Linked DNA regions of Zea mays. The protein of the gene in region 2 interacts with the protein of the main gene of each other region in a biochemical or structural test. Links are inferred from orthologs where the notes say so. Each region holds a gene or a part of one and is shown on either strand. Other genes may lie near its edges. The genes, in order: Protein PIR and Probable protein NAP1-like.

Evidence for each region.
Region 1: the proteins of Probable protein NAP1-like (region 2) and Protein PIR form a complex in vitro, tested with the Arabidopsis thaliana proteins (2 studies listed by BioGRID). The link is inferred for Zea mays from reciprocal best matches to the Arabidopsis thaliana genes GRL and PIR121.

The regions. Positions count from the first base shown.
Region 1 is NC_050096.1:9,477,852-9,490,618, forward strand, and holds the start of Protein PIR, read left to right. Parts: upstream 1-5,721; 5' UTR 5,722-5,833; coding exon 5,834-5,887; intron 5,888-6,573; coding exon 6,574-6,646; intron 6,647-6,872; coding exon 6,873-6,937; intron 6,938-12,767. UniProt on the Arabidopsis thaliana protein: Involved in regulation of actin and microtubule organization. Part of a WAVE complex that activates the ARP2/3 complex. Interacts with the active form of RHO-family GTPases.
Region 2 is NC_050105.1:1,528,864-1,540,971, reverse strand, and holds part of Probable protein NAP1-like, read left to right. Parts: intron 1-2,157; coding exon 2,158-2,283; intron 2,284-2,409; coding exon 2,410-2,517; intron 2,518-2,894; coding exon 2,895-2,939; intron 2,940-3,028; coding exon 3,029-3,171; intron 3,172-3,503; coding exon 3,504-3,636; intron 3,637-7,547; coding exon 7,548-7,652; intron 7,653-7,796; coding exon 7,797-7,875; intron 7,876-8,333; coding exon 8,334-8,527; intron 8,528-9,229; coding exon 9,230-9,375; intron 9,376-11,135; coding exon 11,136-11,217; intron 11,218-11,329; coding exon 11,330-11,440; intron 11,441-11,783; coding exon 11,784-11,909; intron 11,910-11,982; coding exon 11,983-12,095; intron 12,096-12,108. UniProt on the Arabidopsis thaliana protein: Involved in regulation of actin and microtubule organization. Part of a WAVE complex that activates the Arp2/3 complex.

The DNA.
Region 1 (12,767 bases), on a different chromosome or scaffold from region 2:
TTAAATACTTCCTTGTACTACTAATGCCTCTTTTCAAAGTGTTTTATCAACTAGTTTTAAAAGGAAAAAAGATAACAAAGAAGGAAGTCTCCACGAATGAAGACAAGAAGAATACTTAGATCACACCATCTCATATAGCAAGACCTTTCAATTGGTATAACAAATGGTACATTCTATATGGTGGTAAGTATTCTTAGGCATAAGTTAATTCATTGCAAATTTGTCATGCCTTGACCATGATATGTAATATACTCCTCATGAGACTCTTAAATGAATTGAAAGTGCATGTGTCAAGTCATTCAAATACTTGATGCACATATCGAGTGGGAGAACATTATATATCTTGTGTCATAGAGAATAAGTTTCACTTGAGTAAGCTATACTAAGACAATCCAAAATGGTAAATTTGTATTTCATTCATATGGATTGTAATCTTTGTTTTCTAAATAGCTACTCTTGATGCAGTTTAAAATTCCCTTTTCATTAATTCTAAAAGTGTATAAGAATCTTTTTGTTGATATTCATCACATACATATGCACTAATATGGATATGATTTTTAACTATAAAAGGTACAATTAGTGATCCATACTCTCTAAAGTTTGGAAACCCATATTTTGATATCTTAGAAATATACTTCAATCGGTATCCATATGCTTCACATTGAATTGGATCACTAAGTTGTAAATTATATGCATAACTTGTCTTTATGATATGAATGCTTGTGCGACTAACCTTGATAAGCTAGGTGCACTCAAGGTCAAGCTAGGTTCATCATCAAGAAGGCAACACAATGATGTATCAAGAAAAGGAGAAAAGGCTCCTATTCTTAACTCTAGCTTTTATATATGTGATTAAATATTGACTTGAAACCATGTAAGATGATTGTCAAGTATATGTGGATGCCTACACAAAGAGAAATGCCACAATAAGGAATGTGTGGGTACTCAAGGCTCTTCCTACTAATCTCAAAGGACCCAATTCAAATTGGGTACCAAGATATGCAGCTTAAACTTGTTTTGCAGGATCACGCCTTCAATGGATCAAGTTGGGTGCTCGATAATGAATGTATAAATCATATTTGGAGATAGTAGCAAGGGTGGTAACAACTGAATCTCAAGTGCATATTATTTTCAAATCTTATCTTTTTTTGTGACTTATGTAGCCACTAAGGAAAAAGAAGCACTTGAGGATATACATCAGTTGTTGATTATGAAATAAAGGTCTAATTGGGGTGATTAGGGTTGAAAGAGACCCGGCTCTTTGTGGGCGCCTCAACGAGGAAGTAGGGCACCTTTTGTGGTGTGACCGAACCTCGGGATAAATCTTGTGTCTCTTGCGTTCTTGCTCATTGTGTTTGTTCATGTTCTTCGTTCTCTCACCATTCCGTGGAAGATTGTTTATATCTTTTTGGTGTGTGGATTTTGAGAAGTGCCCTTCTCTGATCTACTACTTTGAACCCTGTGGATCATTTAGAACATCTCATTTCCAAAGTTAACTGGGTGAATTTCGAGATCAATTCAGTTTTACCCAGTTTGTTTCTAGTTTTTGTTGAAAAAGTTTTAACTTGCCTATTCACCCCCCCTCTAGGCAACTTTCACGTCCCATCCGGGGGCAGCGAGAGAACCCTCTCTCACGGCGTGAAGACGACGCGCCTGTGTTCCGTTCCTCGAACGGCCCGCGCACGCGCAACGTCCGCCCCGCGAACCACTCGCCCCATCGCATTAACTCCGCGGCGGGACAGGCGACGCCTCTGGAAGGAGAAGCGAGCGACGCTTCGCCTTCGCCATAATGAACGCGTCAAAAAAGGTACGCCATGTCATTCGATTTCGTATCCTTTTCCTTTTCCTCTTTCTCTCTCTTGCAACAGGGACCAGGAAAGGGGGATACCCCGAAAAGGATCCTTCCCCGTGAAGGAACCAGGCTCCGAGCCTCCCTACTGATAAGAGGTTCGAAGGCTGGCCCCTCAGAGGGGTTCAACAGCCGCCTCAGAGCGCGTGGGCTCCACACCCAATACTGGTCAGAGGTTCGAAGGCCGGCCCCTCGGAAGGGTTCAACGACCGCCTCAGGCTACTCGGGCTCCGCGCCCCCTACTGATCAGGGGTTCAAAGGCTGGCCCCCGAAGGGTTCACAGCCGCCTCAGACACAGAGCGAGGGATGACCATGGGTACGTTCGATACATAACCAAGGCTCGGGCTGCGCTCCCGAGGTACCCTAGGACATTTCCGAGACCAGTGGGGACGATCTTGTAACGGAATCCCATCAGAGGGAGGCATCGAGCCCTCGGACCCCGTCGACAGGGGACCGGGTCCGGCAGATCACCCGCAGGTACTTTTGGGCGCGCCTCTGGGCCTCTAGCCGACCCCTAGCAAATGGGGCACGGACGTCTGCTCGGATTACCCGCCAGCAGCTCACCGGAGACACCATGTTCGGCGCCCACCGAAGGCAACATGGCGCTTTCCCCCCTCCTTGCGGAAAGGCGACGCAGGGGCGTATGTAAAAAAGTCGAGTCCGTCCCTGATCGTCCTCTCGCCCTGTGCAGAGGCTCGGGGGCTGCTCTCGCAAACCCGGCTCCGGCCAAACCGTTGACAGCGTCAACATACCAGCCCGAGAACTTGGGACCCGACCGTGCACCCGGGCTACGACCAGCTCGCATGAGGGAACGACCAGACCAGCCGAAGCATTACGCGAGGCATTAAGGCCTCGGAGGAGTCAAACCACTCCTCCGAGGCCTCGGGGGCTACACCCGGCGGGTGCGCTCGCGCGCACCCACCGGAACAAAACGCAACCAAGAAAGGCTGGTCCCCTTGCAAAAAAGTGCGACGAAAGCCTCCAAGCGAGTGTTAACACTCCCTTCGAGGCTCGGGGGCTAATGTCGGGGACCATAATTAGGGATACCCTCAAGGCTCCTAATTCTCAGCTGGTAACCCCCATCAGCATAAAGCTGCAAAGGCCTGATGGGTGCGATTAAGTCAGGGATCGGTCCATTCGAGGGACTCGATCACGCCTCGCCCGAGCCTAGCCTCGGACAAGGGCAGCCGACCCCGGAGGATCTTCGTCTCGCCCGAGGCACCCCCTCCAGCGACGAACACATTTCCGGCTCGCCCGAGGCCCTGTCTTCGCTAAGAAGCAACCCTGACCAAATCGCCGCGCCTACTGACCAAATCGCAGGAGCATTTAATGCAAAGGTGGCCTGACACCATTATCTTGACGCGCGCCCTTCAGTCGACAAAGCCGAAGTGACCGCCGTCACTTCGCCGCTCCACTGACCGATCTGACAGAAGGACAGCGACGCCTGCGCCGCACCGACTGCAGTGCCACCTGACAGAGCGAGGCTGACAGGCAGTCAGGCCCGACCTCAGGCGCCATAGGAAGCTCCGCTCCGCCCGACCCAGGGCTCGGACTCGGGCTAAGCCCCGGAAGACGACGAACTCCGCTCCGCCCGACCCAGGGCTCGGACTCGGGCTAAGCCCCAGAAGACGGCGAACTCCGCTCCGCCCGACCCAGGGCTCGGACTTGGGCTCAGCCCCTGAAGACGGCGAACTCCGCTCCGCCCGACCCAGGGCTCGGACTTGGGCTCAGCCCCTGAAGACGGCGAACTCCGCTCCGCCCGACCCAGGGCTCGGACTCGGGCTCAGCCCTAGAAGACGACGAACTCCGCTTCGCCCGTCCCTAGGGCTCGGACTCAGCCCTGGCCTCAGCCGACGGTCTCCGCCTCGCCCGACCCAGGGGCTCGGACTCGACCACGGCCACGGAAGACAGACTCGACCTCGACCTCGGAGGAGCCTCCACATCGCCCAACCTAGGGCGCGAGCCGACCACGTCAATGGGAGGCGCCATCATTACCCTGCCCCAAGCTGACTCAGGCTACGGGGAACAAGACCGACGTCCCATCTGGCTCGCTCCGCCAGATAGGCAATGATGGCGCCCCGCACGCTCCCTGACGACGGCAGCTCTCCGCCCCCTTACGGAAGCAAGAGGACGTCAGCAAGGACTCGATAGCCCCGACAGCTGTCCCTCCGCCAGGCTCCAGCGCTCCTCCGACGGCCACGACATCACACCAACTGGGTGCCAAAACCTCTCCGGCTGCCACGACGGCGTGTACTTAGGGCACTAGCTCTCCTCCGCTAGACACGTAGCACTCTGCTGCACCTCCCATTGTACACCTGGATCCTCTCCTTACGCCTATAAAAGGAAGGACCAGGGCCCTCTTACAGAGGGTTGGCCGCGCGGGGACGAGGACGAGACAGGCGCTCGCGTGAGGCCGCTCGCTCCCTCTCCCGCGTGGACGCTTGTAACCCCCTACTGCAAGCGCACCCGACCTGGGCACGGGACGAACACGAAGGCCGCGAGATTTCCACCTCTCTCACGCCTGTCTCCGGCCACCTTTCTCCCCCCTTCGCGCTCGGCCTCGCGTCGACCCATCTGGGCTGGGGCACGCGACGACATTTCACTCGTCGGCCTAGAGACCCCCCGGTCTCGAAACGCCGACAACTGCGTCCACATAACCAGTCCCACACTAGCCTGGTCGGCCAGGTACGACCATTTCTGGCGTATGTGCAGATGCAGGTAAATGGACTCAGAATGACTTTTTTTGCATGCACTTGTGCAATCACCGTTTCTCGCGTACAGGTAACCAAACAGATGCTTAACCAAAGTGAACGCACGCGATGATTCAGGATGGAATGGTGTAGTTAACCAATCAGGTGGCTAGTGTCTCCCACTCATCCCATTAGGGCGTGAGTTTAAACCCCATCTCTTGGATCACTTTTTTATAGTTTACGCTGATTTAACCAAATGGATCGACGTGCTAACGGGCCGGCCTCGACACGGTCAACAGACCGATGTGCCGTGCCTAGGCCGGAGCTACGACCCGCGTGCGTCGGGCCGCCTATTTAGCCATTTATATGCGGAGGTGTGTTTTGAGGCGTGGAGGTTGGTTGCACGGAGGGGATAGGCCTGCAACGAGTTAATTTGAAATAGATGTGAGTGATTATTTGTAAATAGATGACGCAGAAAGACCGTTGAAACTGATGTTTTAATATAGTAGAGATAAAAATAGGAAATTGTATCGTTTTTAATCCTTTATATTAGATATAATACTTTTTTTATATCTCTTAATTTTATATTTTTTATAACGTTTGATAGTTTGATTGAACGGTGATTATACAGAAAACTTGATTGTATAACAGTTTTTGTTAGATCATATCAATTAGATACTTGATGGTTTTAATCTTAGTTCAGATACAAGTCATACTGCTAGTTAATATCGGGGTAGTTCGTACAAATTATGATCTCCACATGTTTACCATTTCCTTGAGTATTCAGATTTGGACAAACTACCTCTCGATTTCGCATCAGACGATACCGGATGTTTTCTTATGATATTCCGAAAACTAAAATAAGGTCAAATCTGATTTGGTTGTTCTCTCGCCTAGAATGTGTTCTGATGAGGGCATGAGGCCCAATTTGGGACGATTCTCGCACGGCTCTAACAAACAGGCCCGGTAGTACACCGGCTCCGAAGGTCCGCAAGACCGCAATCATCCGGTAACTTACCTTTTCCTTTCCCATTTCACTTCGAGTACACTTCACGTCTCGTCTTCTTCGCCCCACTGGGTGTCTGGCCCACCGTTGCCACAGGTCACCCGGGGCAGTACGAGTTCCTTGTCTCTCCTTGACGGCCTCCTTGCTCAGCACGATCTCGGCTCCGTCTCTCTCTAGTCTCTACCAACGGTAGCACCATCTCGCTCCCACTCCCAACCACTCCGCCACCACCGCTCTCCTGCGCCTGCGTCCGCGCCTCCTCCCTGCGGCCCCGGCCGCACCGGCGACATGGCCATCCCCGTTGAGGAGGCCATCGCCGCCCTCTCCACCTTCTCGCTCGAGGTACGCACGCCCGGCCCCTCCTCGCGGTCCCCGTTCCCGCCCAGCCGCCCTAGCCTCAATTTCGCACCTGATCTGCGCGTCCTCGCAATCCATAGGCGAAATGCAGCATTGCGCGTTTTGGTCCGGGTAGCTTACGAGTTCATTTGCTTGCTCGTGCTCAAAGCTGGAATGCTAGGTGAAGTGGGAATTTAGGGATTTCGGTACCAAAAATTGGCTTAGCGCAAAATCCACCTGGAACGCTATGGAAGTGTTGTGGCGTGAGAATAAAATAGAGGGTATCCACCGGATGTTTTCTTGTGATATTCCGAAAACTAAAACAAGAGCTCTATGAGCACAGGATACGTTCCCTTTGCTAATACCCAACCATACTCAAAATGCCAGGCATGTACGGTGTGCTTTAAATGCACTGATAGGTGAAATGTAGAAGGATGTCATAGAAATTTGCAATACCTGCCAACTCTAGTATATTAGGTGCACTCCAGTGGTTCAAATTGTATTATAGTGAAGTTTTGATTTGATGGTTCTCTGGACTGATTGAGAGATGTTGACATTCCCACTTGTAGTCTGTTTGGTTCTGTGATTGGTATCCTGTAGTATGTGCCATTCATTCTTCTTTGTATCAGAATGCATGTGTTGTGTTTGCTGTTGTCACTTTTCAAATTATTTAGCTATATTCCAAATTTCAGGATGAGCAACCGGATGTGCAGGGGTTAGCTGTGCTCCTGTCTAGTGAAAGATATGCGACTAACAGTCCTATTGGTATGCGACAAACATAACATTGCCTTTTATACTGTTAGTTTTAAGTACATTAGTGATTATTCTACATGGCTGTGATGGTGATGCTATAGGCTGATGCCTATACTGCACATATATTTCTTCCTTATTATACTATCCAAGAAAAACTTTGATACTTGAATTAATATTAAGTGTTGCCACAGTTTCTTACTGCTCCATTGTCGATTGAAATTTGTAATTTCGTGTTCAGAGTACAGCGATGTTGCTGCTTATCGTCTATCACTAGGAGAAGATACAAAAGCAATCAACCAGCTGGTATGTAGTTCCTCTTTTTCTCTGTGATTGGTTGATTGCATTGCACGTCCTCTCTGCTTCAATACCCATAAACATTTTGATCCCTGTTTGAGAATTGATGTCTTTAAGAGATGTCCATGTGAACCAGTGTTTTCAAGTCGGTAAGTCGAGTCGACAAGGTACCGACTTGGTGACTAGTCGATAAGTCAGTCGACTAGTCGTCGACTTGCCAATATAGTGGCTGTTTTGCCTATATAATGGCTTCATATAGACAATATATCAATATCAATTATATATGAAGAAAGAGGATGTTTTACCTTTTTGAAGTCTGAAATTGAACGAAACTGAAATAAACAGCAAGTCTTACCTCATTTGAAGCCTCAAACTGAACCAAATCAGCCACATAAGTGATAAGTCATAAACTCATAAGTCATAACAGCCATATAGTTCAAATTGGAAAACAAATAGCAAGAAAATATAGTTTAAACTTGAAAGGAAATAAACTCCATTAGATAGCTAAGCTGCTGCAGCAGCTAGATAGATACTAGATACCCTAAATATCTCCCAAATCAAGATCATCCATTGCATTTTCTTCACCACCAGCACCAGCTTGAGTTGGACTGTTATGTGGGGATTCACCAAAGTCATCCACTTCTTCATCATCATTAGGCATGTACTCTTCATCATCTTGTTCATTGCCCTCGTTGCCTTGCTCTTCCTCTTCCATAACTCTCTCCTCCTGTGTAGCAGCAGCTTGACAACGCCTTGAATAAACAGACTCATATCGGGCTCTTCTTGGGAAGTTGCGACCTTGAAGTGAACTAGAAGCACCGATTGCATCATCCACATGAGCCCATGCAAGATCATCCCCTTCTCTAACTGTTTCATTTTGACTGTCCACCCACTCATTGTCCCATTGGAAATCCTCTAAAATTAAAGGGTTACCAATATTTCCCTCCCCACGCAATCTTTGGAACCTAGCTGCCATCTTTCTATTGTATTGGATATAAACCAAATTGTTTAACCTTTGGTGCTCCAATCTGTTCCTTTTTTTGGTATGAATCTATGTGTTAAATAATGAATCAGTGCTGCTGTCCTAGAATCAATTAAAACAAGATAGAAACTGAAATGACAATTTTTTACTTACAAATTCAAAAGTGCTCCAATTGCGCTCACATCCGGAAGCAGAACAACAAAGGCTAACAATGCGCTTTGCAAAGGATTGAATCTCAAATGCAAGGCCACCATATGCATCCCACCAACGAACTAAAAAAAGAGAAGAGAAGTTGAATTAGTGTTGCCAGCCATACAAAACTTAAATGATTAATGAGGTAATAGAACTTACTGGGGCTCTTTTTGTTGTTGTTCTCTAATTGCTAATGGCGATGAGAAGGCAGGGCCAGCCATACTCATATACTCATCAGCTTGTTTACTGATTATAGCTTGAAGGTCATAGTCGTCAACCATCTTCCATAGCACCTCATTGAATGCTGCCCTCAGCCTACCAATCTCCCTTTTTGTTGGATCATTTTTTTGAAGTTCAAAGAACTTATTTGGATTTAAAACAATGCAGCCCCATACAACTTCACCTCCATTTGATCTTGCCACCTCCGATTAATAATGGCAAGCAACTTCCTCTTCATTGCCTCTCTACCTTCAAAACCCGAAGTGATCTTTGCTTTTGCCATATCCATGGCAGCGGCAACCTCTGGCATGGCTGGCTTTTCATCACCATCAACAATTCGCAACACAATGAGGAGTGGTTGTGATGCACGAATACAATCTTGTACTGAGTTCCAAAAGTTTGTAGAAAGAAGTATCTCTGTGACCTTTCCTGCTTCTGTGCTTGATAGCTTGGACCTAGTCCAATCATCACTAACAAAGAGGCATCTCAAAGCTTGCTCAAGGTTTTAAAGTCGTCCGACTAATCGCGATTAGGCGCGATTAGTCGGCCTTATTGCTAGAGGGAGCTCGATTAGGGTCTCCGACTCGACTAGAGCGACTAGGAAGCGATTAGTCGTCCTAGTCGCCGACTAATCGCGATTAGTCGTCCGACTAGGTATAGTGGTCGACTAGTTTTGCCTGTTTTGGGCCACTAATCCGTTCTCTGTTACATGGGCCGACCCACCATCTGTACATCACAAACAATGTTTTGCCCTACTTGTATCAATACGGTACACACATTACGCAGCGCACAGTCGCGCTCGCGCGTGCACCCTTCTCCAGCGCCGCCGCACCTTCTCCAACGCCGCTGCCCTCCTCTCTTACCATCCTGCTGTGCTCTGGAAGCCCTCTGCTCGAGCGTCAGCTGCGCCCCGTCCATCACGCGGCGACTGTAGTCTGTAGAGCCCCCCTCCAGCGCTGTTTTGCAAAATATAAATAGCATATAGTATATGTATGTATGCAACACTATCTCTACTCTTTAAAACTTCCTCCACGATCATATGTATGTACTGAGGTCCGGACCGAAGAGAACTGATGTTCCGGAAGGTGCTGCCTCTGACGCTGATGCTTGTTATCACGATCTTCATCATCATCCGGGGAGGAAGGCGGAGGCTGTTCCTCAACCGACAAGGCACCCGAAATACCAACCTTCACAGAAACAGAGTAAATCAAAGTGCGAGGGAAACAAGATCCATCTTCTCCAATAGACGTCAGCTCTTCAACATGGAGATCACAGCGAGAAGGCAGACAATCCATAGAGAAACCCCATGCCTTCAGCGTCAGAATCGACATGTCCATCCCATCAACAGAATCCGGATGCAATCCTTGAACGATGCAGTGTCCACCGAGTAGATGCTCTGCCATATCAATCCCCCAGAGGTGTGCCGGAATCCCGCCAAGTTCAACATCTAGAAGTACCGGCAGGGCACCTCCACCAGTGGCCGACGCCTGGCGTGACCACCTCCTAAGATGCAACCGGAGGGGGGGGATGCAGATGGATTGTCCACAAGCCAAGGCACGAACAACGTGTTCCATAGAGGGGAAGAGGACCAGGTACGAGTTGGACGCAACACGTCGGATTTGGAGCGCATCAGCCTCAAGGCCATACTTCAAGGCAAGCACATCTAGAATCACAGCGGCGCAGTCAGAATCCCCCTGGCCAAGCACATTGACGATCAATGCACGATGAAAGTCCTCCTCCGCCTGGTCGAGCAACCTTGAACGCCTAAGGTTATGCGAACGAGGGGGGGGGGCACCACCGAAGGCAATGGTGATGATGCCAAAGATGAAACCCGACCAGATGCGCCCAAAACCTCCAGGTCCATTTTCCGGCGCCTTTGACCACAGCGAGTGCGCTTCATCGTCTTCTCTCCATCACCATCACCGCCGACCCGCGAACCACCGTCCATAGCGCAGAGAGGAACCTCCTCCGGGATGACCTTCCTGGAAACGGGACGCCACACCAACACCCTCGCTGGGTGATGTGGAGTCTTCTTCCGACGTGGACACGCGCGCACCCGATGCCCAGGCAGACGACAGTGAAAACACCGCACCAAACTGCCACACTCGGCCGCACGGTGGGAAGGTGAGAAGCAGTTGAAGCACCTCCCACGTAAATCAGCGGGAACGGGTCTAGGGGGTTGCGAGGGGAGAGGGGTACGGGGACTCCGATGGTGAAACCGGCGTCCCACAACCCTCACCCAGCCACCATTACCAACGTCAGCTCCGCATGCACTGGACCTTCCATCCACTAGCACCTCCTTATAGGAACGACGCGAATCACACTGACTCAGGGAAGCAGCAGATGGAAACTCATGTTCACACCATCGCTGTGCCTTTGAACGGCCACCAGGAAGAACCGTTAAAGACTGGGCGGTGAGAGAAGGAGAGGAGACCGACGCCGGGGTAGCAAGTGGGGTGGCCGCTGGCCTTTGGGAGGAGGACCGGCGTGAGGCTGTGGGGTGGAGGGGCTGAGGCGTCGGCCGGAGGTGGAAGGTCAGGGGCGGGAGCGGAAAGGACATACTGACGGGCCCTTTCCTGTCTCCATTCTGGATTGCCTCCTTCCCCTGCCAGAGCATGTAACACATACAAATTAATTAAATTGCACCCAAGCACACAGACATGAACTTCCTTCTATTTGGTAATCAATTCTTTGTGTATATGGGCTCATGTGTGTTACCTAATATCCTCCGTTGGTTTATTTTTCTCGAACACGCAGGAGATCTGCGTATCTTTCCATTAATAGATAGAAGAAGGTACAACACAACACAACACACACAACTCAACCCACACGACACAACAAGACACAACACAACCACCACACACCACTCTGAACAAGGCGCAAGGTTATCACCCTGGGTCAAGCATAAACACTAGAGTTGAAAGCAAGTTCAACCCTTTAGCTCCGGCACGACACCACATCCTAAGCTCATCACCAGCGAGGGTGAGAGCACTTGCTAGGCTCGGCGACCTCCCATTGAACACACAGTCGTTGCGATGACGCCAAAGGCTCCAAGCGCCAAGAATAACTAGAGAATTGAAGCCTGATTGGAGATCTCGGGGAATCTTCTCCACAACCCTGCTCCACCAGTCTTCTAAGCTGCAAAGAGCATTGTCTGGTGAAAGATTAGGCAACCCGGACCTGCGCAGCAAGAGGTACCAGAACTGTCTTGCAAAGACGCAAGAGATGAGAAGATGTTGTATTGTTTCCTCTTCTTGGTCGCAAAGTGGACACACACTGGGGTGGGGTAGTCCTCTTTTAGCAAGACGATCTGCGGTCCAACATCTATTGTGCATGGCAAGCCAAAGGAAGAAACTACACTTTGAAGGTGCTCAAGACTCCCAAACGCGCTCAAAGACTCCAAAAGAAGTGGATCCTAGGAATAGCATATATCATAAGCCGACTTTGAAGAGTATTGGCCGGACGAGGAAAACCTCCAGATATGCTTGTCTGGCACTCCATCACTAAGGGAGAAATCTGCAATAACTTCACTAAGAGTCAAAAAATCAGAGATGACAGCCCAAGTGATGGTGCCTCTCAGGTCCCGGATCCAAGCCATCTCCACAATTTCTTCTGCCACCGTTCTCCTGTTGGCAATCCTAGTCGGGACAAGGGCAAAAACATGAGGGGTTAGGTCCTCAATCCTCTGTCCCATCAACCATCTGTCCCTCCAAAATAAGGTGTTACGACCATCACCCACCTCTGTAATCATAGCTGTAGAGAGGATAGATTTCAGTATGCTGGAACTCTGGAGAGGTATATCAGCCCAAGACTTCGAGGGGTCTGTTTTTTCCAACCACAACCATCTTACCCGTAGGGCCCAATTCAGTTTTTGTAAATCAGAGATGCCAAGACCACCAAGCTCCTTTGATCGTGTCACTTTGCCCCAAGCAACTAAGCAGTGACCACCGAGCACATCCATTCGTCCTTTCCAAAGAAACCCACGTCTAATTTTGTCAATGGCTTTGATAGCCCATTTAGGTAAATCCAAAGCCATGGCGTGGTATATAACTGTTGCCGTGAGTACATATTGCACTTGGATAGCTCTTCCAGCCCTAGTCATCAAGTCGGCCTTCCAATTAGGTAAGAGGTCCGCAAGCCTATCAATTAGTGGCTGCAGCTGCTCCTTGTTTAACTTCCTGAGAGAGAGAGAGAGGTAGCCCGAGATATTTGAGAGGAAGTGTTTCAACTTTGCAAGGAAAAATGTGGGTCACCATTTCCATGTCCACCGGAAAGCAGTGAATGGGAGCCACACTGCTTTTCTGTACGTTGTTTTTTAGCCCCGAGGCGTCCCCAAACAAATCCAATATCATGGTTACCATGTGCAGATCACTGGCAGCCGGCCTCAAGAACATCACCACATCATCAACATAAAGCGATATTCGGTGCTGAATGGAACGAGTTGAA
Region 2 (12,108 bases):
TGAATGATATGGTTTCTCCGAATCAAACAGCGTTCATTAAGAAAAAATTTATCTTAGACAATTTCATGCTTGTGCAGCACACTGCAAGGTTTCTTCATAGTCAAAGGCAAGCCCACATTCTTTTCAAGCTCGACATTTCTAAGGCTTTTGATTCGGTTTCTTGGGCTTTCTTGTTGGAAGTCTTGCAGAAGTTGGGTTTTGGGCAGATCTGGCGTGACATCATTTGCGGGCTGTTAGCCTCTTCTTCGACGAGAATTTTATTAAATGGTGTTCCCGGGGACTACATTGCTCACCAGCGGGGTCTTCGGCAGGGGGACCCTTTATCTCCAATGCTGTTCATCTTAGTCATGGACACTCTCAACTTGCTTATCCAGAGGGCCTCTGATGAAGGGCTGCTTCACCCTCTTTCCACGAACAGTTTGCAGCACCGATTCTCTTTGTACGCGGATGATGCGGTGGTTTTCCTCAAGCCGGTGCCTTCAGACATTACTCTGATTCTGGAAATCCTTCGGATTTTTGGGGATGCGTCCGGTCTAAAGACCAACGTTCAGAAGAGTAATGTTTTTCCTATTCGATGTTCTGAGGCGGATCTTGCTTGTGTTCAGGAGCTCCTTCCATGTTCCATTTCGGAGTTTCCACTGTCAGTACCTTGGCCTCCCGCTTTCTCTTGGAAAGCTTAGGAGAAGTCAAATTCAAGCAATTGTCGATAAAACTGCAGCACAGTTACCTGGGTGGAAAGCTGATCTGATGACAAAGGCTGGTAGAGCCATTTATGTTCAATTTGTGATGACATCAAGAATGATTTATGCTGCTCTGGCGTTGGACCTCCCTTCTTGGGCTATTAAAGCAATCGATAAGCTTAGACGAGGCTTTCTGTGGAGAGGGAGGAAGGAGGTGAATGGTGGCCATTGTCTGCTGACTTGGCCCAAAGTCACTAGACCCAAGGACCTGGGGGGTCTGGGTATAAGTGACCTTCGGATCATGAGCTGGGCGCTGCGGGCTAGGTGGCCTTGGCTGCAAAAATCTGATAGGACTAAGCCATGGTCGGACTTTCAGATTCAAACTTGCGACATTGTGCAAAGCTTGTTGGCTGCGGCTGTTATCACTCATTTGGGAGATGGATCTGATACTTTGTTTTGGAAGGATCGTTGGCTGAATGGCAAATGTATTAAGGAGGTGGCACCTGCTGTCTTGGGTATGGTGCCCAAGCGTATTGCTTCTAGGCGCCTGGTCAAGGATGCCTTGCCTGATCTCAATTGGTTGGCTGATCTGAGAGGGGCTATGTCTGTTACAGCCCTTGCTAATCTCATGGACCTTTGTGACTTGCTCGAGGGGATGGTTCTTCAGCCGGATGTTCCTGATGTGCATGCCTGGAGGTTCAGTGAATCGGGTGAATACTCGGCTAGTTCAGCTTACAGGGCTTTGCTTCTTGGCTCTGTTAGCTTTGAGCCTGCTGAACGCATTTGGAAATCCTGGGCTCCAGGAAAGTGTAAATTCTTCCTCTGGCTTGTGGAGCACGATAGATGTTGGACGGCTGACAGACTTGCTAAGCGTGGCCTGGATCACCCGGAGTCTTGCCCTTTATGCGACCAGATGGAAGAAACTATCAACCATTTGCTGGTTCAGTGCAGTTTTGCAAAACAGTTTTGGTTCAGCCTTCTGCGGTCAGGTGATTTCCAGGAGCTCTGCCCTTCCCATGATGACGTCTGTTTTGAAACCTGGTGGAGGATTAGTGCTGCCAGGGTGGGCAAGCCTTTATCCAAGGGATTCAATTCTCTTGTCATTTTGGGTGCATGGTCTTTGTGGAAGCATAGAAATAGGTGTGTTTTTGATAATTGTAACCCTAGCGCTGCGGTGGTGTTGGCAGCTGCAAGGGAGGAGTTGATGGGTTGGAGTATGGCTGGAGCCAAAGCGCTCTCTTTCTTCCATTTAGAAGAGGTGTCTTAGGTGTCTTAGTTGTTTGGGGGGTGTTTTTTGGTTTTGGTTTGCCAAATGTAACACCTTTGTACCGGGGTTTTTTCTCCCCATTTTATTCTTCTTCTTAATACAAAAATACGCAGCTCTCCTGCGTATTCAAGAAAAAAAAACAGCATCTGACTTATATTTTCTACTAAATTGTTTTTTTTTGGTGCTTCGACTGTAATATTTTGTCCTCAGGTCCTGGAAGCTGTTGGCCCAATTATATTTCTTTCAACTGATACAAAAAAGTTAAGGAACGAAGGTTTCCTCAGTCCATTTCATCCACGTTATCCAGACATCCTAACAAATTCTGCCCATCCAATGGTTAGTACCTTTCACTGTTAGAGATGATAAATCATGAGAGCATAAATGTCTGTCCATTATTCTGCCAATACCATGATAACAATGTATTGTAATTTAGAGATTTAACCTGATTCTGTTTCCTCCCAGAGGGCCCAAGACTTGGCTAATGTCACATCATACCGTGAGTGGGTTCTTCTAGGATATCTTGTTTGTCCTGATGAACTACTTAGGGTGACCAGTATAGATGTTGCCATGGTATGCCCTATGTCTTTGTTTGTCAGTTTCTACTCTCTTTTCCTGAATAGCTAATAATTTATGGTGTATATAATGGTTTTAGTGTTGCACTTACATCAACCAAAATAGTGGCACATGCATCGTGTTTTCTCACTCCATTTTATCATAATAAGTCTTGTGTTGGTATCTGGTAAGCCTCCGTTTGGTGCTATGGTTGGCTTTTTAAAAGCATTCATTTATTTCTATTTTTAGATGGATTTGGTTGAAGACATCTTTCATGAATCAGTTACAAGAAACTGTACTAGAATTAGTAAAGATTCACCAAACTAGATTCCTCAGTGCAACCAGCATGTCATCTGTGATTTAGCCTTGATCTGTTTCTTCTTGGTCACTTTCAGGTTGTTCTGAAAGAGAACTTAATACTTCCTCTGTTCAGAGATGAGGTAAAATTAAAGACATGTGGCAGCAAGATTAATTCTTTGGTGTCACTATTCACTATTCTAATTTGTTTTTTTTTTCATTTTTTGTGTAGTACATCTTACTTCATGAAAATTATCAACTTTATGTTCTTCCAAAAGTTCTAGAATCGAAGAGAATGGCTAAATCTGGCCGAACTAAGCAAAAGGAAGCTGATCTGGAGTACAATGTTGCAAAGCAGGTTGAGAGAATGTTAACGTATGTCCTGCACAGTCATTGTATATATACTTTTCTCTATGCTCCAGAATAGCTTGTAATGTGAAGATGGTTCTGTTCCACAAGTTTGAGTTATTTACCTTATATTTTGATTATTGTTTTTGAAATCTTTCTGCATATTCACTTCTTTTGGGATTTGCCACTAGTTCAGATAGCCTATTCTTGGTTGGTTCTTTTGGCTTCATAACTCGGGAACTATTTTACCTAGCATTTTACCCTTCTGGTTTCATTACTTTTAATTTGTTCTTTTTTATTTTATCTACTTGGCATCATTCTTCAGATGTTTGTTAATGGTTTGTGTTAACTCTCTACAGGGAAGTGCATGAGCAAGCACTGGTGTCATGTGATGCTATGCATCGTGAGAGGAGAATTCTTCTTAAGCAGGAAATTGGAAGGATGGTTTTATTTTTCACTGATCAACCTAGCCTCCTAGCACCTAATATTCAGGTTTGGCCCCAAGTATTCTTTTTTTTTCTCGAACTACGCAGGAGAGATGTGTGTCATTTCATTAAGATAGAAAAGAGCACCAAGATGAGGCTAAAACAGCCTCACCCAAATACAAGAGCACATCTTAAGATGTGCCACGCTCACTGGATAGAATAATAGATACATGACCAGAACCACACCTAACCTATGCTTTTTGGGCCAGCGACCTAGCGCGGAGCTTTTGGAGATTGGAAGCTCTGGCCATGTACCAAAGAGTACACTCATCACCCACACTCTGAAGGACTGCCAATATGAGGAGCAGAACCCTCAAAGACACATCGGTTGTGATGCTTCCAAACTGCCCTAGATACACATCGGTTCAGATCCCTATGAACAGCATTGAGAGTAGTTCTCCACCAACTAGAGAACTTATGAGAAGTGCTCAAAGGAGCTGCAGCAGCCAGACCAATCCTCTGAAAAATTGAGGCCCAGACCTGCCAAGTGAAGACAGGAGGTTAAAACATGTTGAATTGTCTCTTCGGCCTGATCGTACAAGGGGCAGGAAGATGGATGGGGTAAGCCCGTCTTAGAGAGGTGATCCGCTGTCCAACACCTGTTGTTGTTGTTGATGGCGAGCCAAATGAAGAATCTGGACCACAGGGTGCCCAAATAATTTTCCAGGGTACGAATTTAATGGTTCCCACAAAGAAGGCATTGCAGGCTTATTTGCTAGAGTAGTGGCCTGACTGAGTAAGTTTCCAGCGGGACTGATCTTGGGCATTGGTTTGAAGCATCACATTGTCCAAATCAGCAAGTATTTGACTAGGACTTCAACTGAAAGCCCCCCTCCCCCAAAATAATAATAATAATGCCAGCTATCCATGCACGGTTATTCAGAGCTTGGGCCACCGTCCTCTTGATAAGCCCCTTTGGGACAGCCTTAACTAAATTAGGAGCCAATTCTGAGATTTTCTTCCCCTGTACCCATCTATGATTCCAGAATTTTATATTCTCTCCATTACCCTCTAAGGAATCTACGGCAATATGAAAGAGGGATCATGCCTTTAGGGGGACTTGGAGCTGTAGTCCAGCCCATGGCCTAGCATGATCAGTTTTCTCTGCCCACAGCCAAAGGATGCACAGAGCACAGCACATAGTCTCCAAATTATGAATCCCCCCCCAATATCGCAATGGGCGTTGGACATGGACTCGCTCCCAAGAAATCAGACAGCTCCCTCCATTGGCACTCTCTTGAGTCTTGACCTTTCCAAAGGAAACCCCTGCCGTTTATCAATGGCTTTGACTACTCATTTAGGAAGCTCGATGACAATAGCATTAGCATGATAGATGGTACTATGGTAGAAGCAGTTAGAACCACCTTGACCATAGTGAGGCACCCTGCTCTGTTCATCAGGGAGGCCTTCCAACCTGGAAGTTGATCAGCCACCTTGTTCACCAAAGGAAGGTCAGTCTTAGAAGCTTTGTGGACGGTGAGAGGGGGGGGGGTCAAGATACTTGCAGGGGAAGTCCTTCACAGAGCAAGCCAGATTGCCAGAATATCAGAGGTCTGCTGCAAATGTTCCTTTTGCTTGACCACCAGAATATCAAAGCTTTGTAGATGGCGAGATGGAAAACTTTGTAGATGATCACCAGGAGGGGGAGGGGAACATGGGCTGCCTGGTGGGCTGGGCCAGCCCACTTCTTACTCTGTTCCTTTTCTTTTTTCTCTTCATCATCTGCTGCTCTAAGCTGCTGTTTTAAATTTTCCTTAAATTCTTAAGGTGTCAGTGTCACCTCACCTCACACTTTAGTCGCTTAAGTGTAAGGTATAGTCAGTCACCACATCACCTTACCGCCTTGATAACCATGATAAAAGATGTACCCCACCGTATGGTTCTACCGGTTATTCTGGGGTACCAGACATATTAGACTTCTTGTTTCCGTTTACACTCGTAAACAATTCAACTTTATGTAAGGCAACTTATCTGTATATAGTATCTTTTTTGAGAAAAATATAGTATATTGCGCTATATATTTCATATTTATATTATTAATAATCAAAAGAGGGGGTAATTCACAATAAAGAGAAAATAAATGCAGAAATGATTACTTTGGATTTACTAGCTAGTAGCTCTACTGATGGATTGCCAGAGAATACTTCTCTGTTTAGCCGTTCATCGAACGTATTGCTCAGAGACTCCGTGGTTGGAAAGGGAAGTGGCTAAACAGAGTTGGTCGTCTCACTCTTGTCTCAACAATCCTCTCTTCCATACCAACCTATCATCTGACGGTGTTCCTGCTCGCGGTCTGGGCCCGTAAGCGAATCGACAGAATCAGAAGATCCTTCCTTTGGAAAGGAGAAGAAAACGCCAACGGGGGTCACTGTTTAGTGAATTGGGCAACGGTCACAAGACCGAAGGACTTTGGCGGGTTAGGGATTCTAGACCATGATAAATTTGGCAGGGCTTTACACCTTCGTTGGTTGTGGCAGGAATGGGTGGATGATACCAAACCTTAGGTTGGCATGGATACCCCGGCGGACGACACTGATCGAGCACTTTTCACTGCCTCAACAAGGGTCGTCGTTGGAGATGGCCACAAATGTCGTTTTTGGCATTGTTGGAACCGGATCGCCGACACATGGCGTGTCCGTTGGACCGCCCGCACATACGGCGCGCCCACCCAGGCCGTCGGGTCGCGACACACACGCTCACACGCATAGCAGCGGGCTTTAGGTCTCTTGGGTCAACACTCCCCAAAAGCTAGCCCGTTAGGGTGTTGCACCCTCAACCATATAAACCATGCTTGCACACCCTCATCACACAATGTGGGACTATTCCCAACAGGCATGACGCTTGGCTTGATGGAGAGGCGCCATACCGCTTAGCTCCTAACCTATTTGCGATGTCTAGGACAAAAAACGGATCAGTCCACATGGAGCTCCGGGATAATCACTGGATCAACGCGATGTGAGGCTAAATCACCATTGCAATCCAGATACAGGAGTTCATCTCACTTTGGATCAGAACCTAGGACACCCACCTTACACCAGCCATGAGGGACTGCATACTCTGGAGATGGACGGCAGATGGAACATACTCCGCTCGCTCATCATATCGTATCCAGTTTAGAGGCTCCTTCGGGCTGTTCCGGTCCAACCTAATCTGGAGAGTACATGCCAAAAACAAGTGCAAGGTTTTCGCATGGACAATGACAATGGAAAAAGTTCTCACCGCGGCCAATTTACAAAAAAGGATCTGGCCTCACCAAGATCACTGCGCTCTATGTAATAGGCCACTGGAAACTTGTATCCATTTGGCATTGCTTTGCCCTTTCGCCAAATCTGTTTGGAGATTCACCTTGGCTTGGGGGCATTTCGATGAAAATCTAGTCATTCCGTCAGAGGAGCCTACCAAGCTGACCCGGTGGTGGGAGGTATCCCAAGCCAAGATTCCGATAGGTGAAAGAAGGCGATTCAACGGAGTAGTGATTTACACTATTTGGAACATCTGGAAAGAACGGAACAGAAGGTTCTTCACCGGTGCTTTTGAAACGGCAGTGCAAGTTGCCTCTAGAGCAAAGCAGGACATCGAGCAACAAAGAAGGGCCTTAACTTGGAAGGTATAGAGTTGTAGATTCTCTTTGGTTCTTTTGCACCTTCGTGGTGTCTGGAATGATGTTAGTAGGGTGTTCCTTCGTTTTTTAAGCATGTACATAACCTCTTCCCTATCTTAATTGAAAGGCAGAGCTCCTGCCAGTTTTTCACAAAAAAATTATTTCTCTGTTCAATAAAGATAACCTTGGCAGATTCCATGAGCCTTGATTAGGCTCTATCTATATACTTTCAAAGATCTTCATGACTTCATATTGAGGGAAGCACCTTAGATCATGTTATTCCACAATTGATGTAATAATGCTGGTACATTGTGCAGATGGTTTTTTCTGCTCTTGCTTTGTCTCAATGCGAGGTGATTTGGTACTTCCAACATGTGGGGATTGCATCATCAAAATCTACTCGGTTGAAAACTGTTGACATTGTGAGTTACTCCGCAATTATTTTTTCCTTGGATTCAATAAGTCGTTGTTCCAGTATTCTATTGCTTTCTAAAAGCAGAGGTTTCTTGTCATCTCAAAAAAGAAATGTTGTTCCCTTCCATACTAATTGTTGACTGAACTTTCAGGATGCGACAGACCCAACTATTGGTTTCTTACTAGATGGAATAGGCAAACTTTGTTGCCTGGTTCGTAAATACATAGCAGGTTCTTCCAAACCTGTTGCTTTATTTGAGTGTTTCTTTTAATATTTTTCCTTGTCTAGTCCTAGCCGTGCCTTATAAAGTTATAAGGCAGTCATTGTGAGTAAAATACCTTATTATGATGTTGAGGTCAGAACAAGTGAACAAGTTGTAGCTGGCATGCCATTTTGGTGGCCCATTCTGGGCTAGTTAATGTTTGCTTAGTTCATGTTGCAAGCACTACCTTAGAATATAGCATATTAGATTCAACTGGTAGGATTGTATTCATTAATATATGTTGAGTAAATTTTTCATTCATGCCTTAAGAAGATTATGTTTTTCAGTGCTGAATTTATATACTGATGCACATCTCTTTGTTTTTGGACAAATAAAGTATTATACAAAAAAAACTTAAGTTTGTCCTAAAGTAGCAGTGTTGATTTTTTTTCATTTTTATCAAATGATACCTTTTCCTCTTTGCAGCAATAAAAGGTTATGCCTTATCATATTTGTTATCCAGTGCTGGAAGAATACGGTTCTTACTTGGTACTCCAGGAATGGTTGCTCTTGACCTAGATGCGACACTGAAAGGCCTTTTTCAGCAAGTCCTCCATTGTCTGGAGAACATTCCAAAACCTCAGGGGGAAAGTGTTCCTGACATTACCGCTGACTTGGCTGTAAGTTATCAACCTAATATCATATACAGAATTCTCACTGACCTATGAAGATAGACCTAATTTTCCTACAACTTCTGCATTCTTGTTGTTAATACAATTTTCTATGCCCAGTAATGTGTAGATTGATGCAAAGGTTTTCCTGTTGATCCACACAACATTATACAATTTCTGTTCAAATTTCTTGTGCATAATTTCCAGCACTCAGGCTTTCCCTCTCAAAACTGTTTCATTTGAGCAGTAGTACATGTTATAAGTCTACATGTAGATAACTGCAGTTCTAATATTTATCAAGATTCTAGATTGCAAGGTAGTTTTGAATACTTTTTAATGGCGTTGTTGAAAAATAAAGTTCTAGATGTTGACGATAATATATTTGCTTTACTGCCAGAGTATTTTTGTTGATAAAGAAGTGCTCACTATGCTTCTCCTCAAACTCATTATAATTGTGGTTTATTGAATGTTATCTCACCCCTTTTCTGTGTATTGACAATTTTATGATTTTTAATCATGTTGAAAGCTGTTAATCTAAGCACCATATTCTGTTGCTTGTTGAAACTTGAAAGGTTCACACATTGGTTTTCTTTTACATTGCCGATTGCATTAGCCAGTGAGAAGTATGGCACCAACTGTGTATTTAATTCTGTATGCTTAGTCTTCCATTTAATTTTGCATTTTGAACTGTTCAAACCTGATATGCTACAGGATTTGCGTAAGCACTGGCTGTCAATCTTGATGATAGTCACATCTTCACGATCCTCGATAAACATTAAGCACTTGGAGAAGGCTACTGTGTCTACTGGGAAGGAGGGTTTGGTGTCAGAAGGCAATGCTGCATATAATTGGTCAAGGTGATTGATAATCTGCTTTAATTTGAGTTAGCTTAGCTAGATTTTTTAACTCTTTTTGCCTGCCAATATTTTCTGAAAGGATCATGATTTGCAAAATGGTATCCTATGTGTCAATGGCATGTGGCCTCAGGCCCAATCATGTGATGGCAATTTCCCATTGTGCGCCTTTGCTGTGGTTAGTGTGGTATTAAGTGAACTCCAGCTTCTGTAAAGTGCTTAATCTTAATTAGGCCAACATAAATAAACGGCTCTATTGCATGCTCCTATTTTCTCTCTCGAATGAGGCAGGAGAGCTGCATCATGTCATTTCACTAAGGTAGAAGAAACAGAACAAAAACATGAGGGGAAAGCTTGGAGCCCCCCCCCCCCCCCCCCACCCACACACACACACCAGTAAACACGGCACACAAACAAGTAACACGACCACTACAGGACAGCTCAAGCGTTCAGCCTCCGCGCCCTACCGAGCAGCTTGTGAAGCGCCGTGTTTCTGGCTAAACAGCAGAGCTTGGGCTCCTTCTCCACTTCCTGGCAAACTCTGGAGACACTAGAACTAATACCCTCAAACACACGTGTTCCTACGCTTCCACAGAACCAAGCGACAAGAATGATTAGAGAGTAAGTCTTTTCCTTGTCTCCTTAGGTACCTTGCTGGCTACCAAGCTGAAAAAGAACACATCAGGTTGGGGGGCGATGACCGGCAATCTAACAAAAAGAAGAATTTTGGTCCAAATCTCCCGGGAGAAGACACATGAAACTAGAATGTGCTGAATTGACTCCTCTTCCTGGTCACAAAGAGAGCAAACACTAGGATGTGTCTGTCTGTGCCTAGATAAGTGGCACGCTGTTCAACATCTATTCTTCATTGCCAACCATAAGAACTTGCACTGAAGCGGGGCCCAAGATTTCCAAATCCTCTTCCAAGGTGTAAACTCAATAGATCCCAGGAAAAAAAAGAGTCGTATGCAGATTTACTTGTGTAAATGTAAAGCCCTCAATGGGTAAGCTTCCAAGTGTGCTGATCAATGGTAGATGGCTGAAAGGTAAAGTCATCGACCAATTCCCATAATTTCAAACATTTGATAATCACCTGGACCGTGAGGGCATCTTGGATGTCTGCAACCCATTTTCTAGTGTTCAAAGTTGGAGATACAGTTAGCTGCCTTTTTGCACTTTTAGGAATTATTTGAATAAGATTAGGAGCCAGATCAGCAACTGTACTACCGTGTAGCCACCGAGCAGTCCAAAATTTAGTATCCTCTCCACTTCCTTTTTCCATCAGCAAGCAAGATACCACAAGAAAAAGAATTTTATTGCAAAATTCCAGATGGGAGACCATTTTGTCACCACACAGGAAGAAAAGCATGAAACAGTTTTTTATTTCTATGAGAATCTCCTTGGAACATGCTTCTAAAATTACACCTTGTTTTATACCATCTATTTTATACTACTCATGGTCTAGTTTTCTTTCTTTGTCTGTTTTTTTTGGCCTTGTTTGGGCATTGTATTTGGTCCATTTTGGACTTCTCTTTCTCTTAATACAATGATGCGCACTCCTGCGCGTTTGAGAAAAAAATATTTTATACTACTACAAATATAGTTGGTAAATTAGAATAACTAAAGCAGTTGTTTATCATGCATCCATCTGCATAGCTCTTGTTCTCTGTTATTGTGCTTTTGGCAAGAACTGAAATACTTGAATTTGAATCAAAATTCTTTAAGGACCATTTGAATTTCACTAGAGTTAACATGTTCTGCAGATGTGTTGATGAACTTGAGAGCCAACTCTCCAAACATGGAAGCCTTAAAAAACTCTACTTTTATCATCAGCATCTTACCACGGTAAGTTTATATTTTGTTTATATTGCTGTATGATTTGCATGGTCCTTTAAATAATTTCTAAGTAACTAGACTTTTATGCTGATAGTAAGTACTTTTTTGCTGGGACCCACAGGTCTTCAGAAATACAATGTTTGGCCCAGAAGGTCGTCCACAGCATTGTTGTGCTTGGCTTGGAGCCGCTTGCAGTTTTCCAGAATGTGCTTCTGCAATTATTCCTGAAGAGGTGTATATTTGAACTCACTATATGGTTTAGTTTGAGCATTATTTTGATGCTTACAGCATCCTAAAGATGTGCTTGGCAACATGACTAGCTTTGAGGGTTAGTTTTTGCTTGGCGAGATGGACATTTGCTATGCTTGATCTATTAAGCAATAAGCCAGCCACCTATGCCCTGGGATTTGAAGGCTTTGAACTGCCATTGACATAATAATCCTATATGCTCCAACTCTTACTATGACATAACAATATGTCCCCAATCTGTTACTAAGATTCCTCTTCTACAGGGCTGCATTTCTCTTCTATGTTTGGCATATTTATTATTGAATCTTTCTTTGTTTGAAATGTAGGTTAACAAAATTGGCAGAGATTCTATCTCTTATGTGGAGTCCCTTATCGAGTCTATCATGGGTGGGTTGGAAGGTTTGATAAATATTCTAGATTCAGAAGGTGGATTTGGCTCATTAGAGATGCAGGTAGATAATTTCTGAGTTTATCTTTACGATTTTTGGCTTATAGCTTTAAGTCTCACTTCTAAAATCTTGCCAGCTTTCCCCAGAGCAAGCAGCTCTTCGCTTAAATAACACAAGAGCAAAGGGTGTTTCAAGCTTGTTAACTCCAGGATATGAGAGCTATCCTGATAACAGTTCATCAATTAAGATGTCAGTCAAGTTG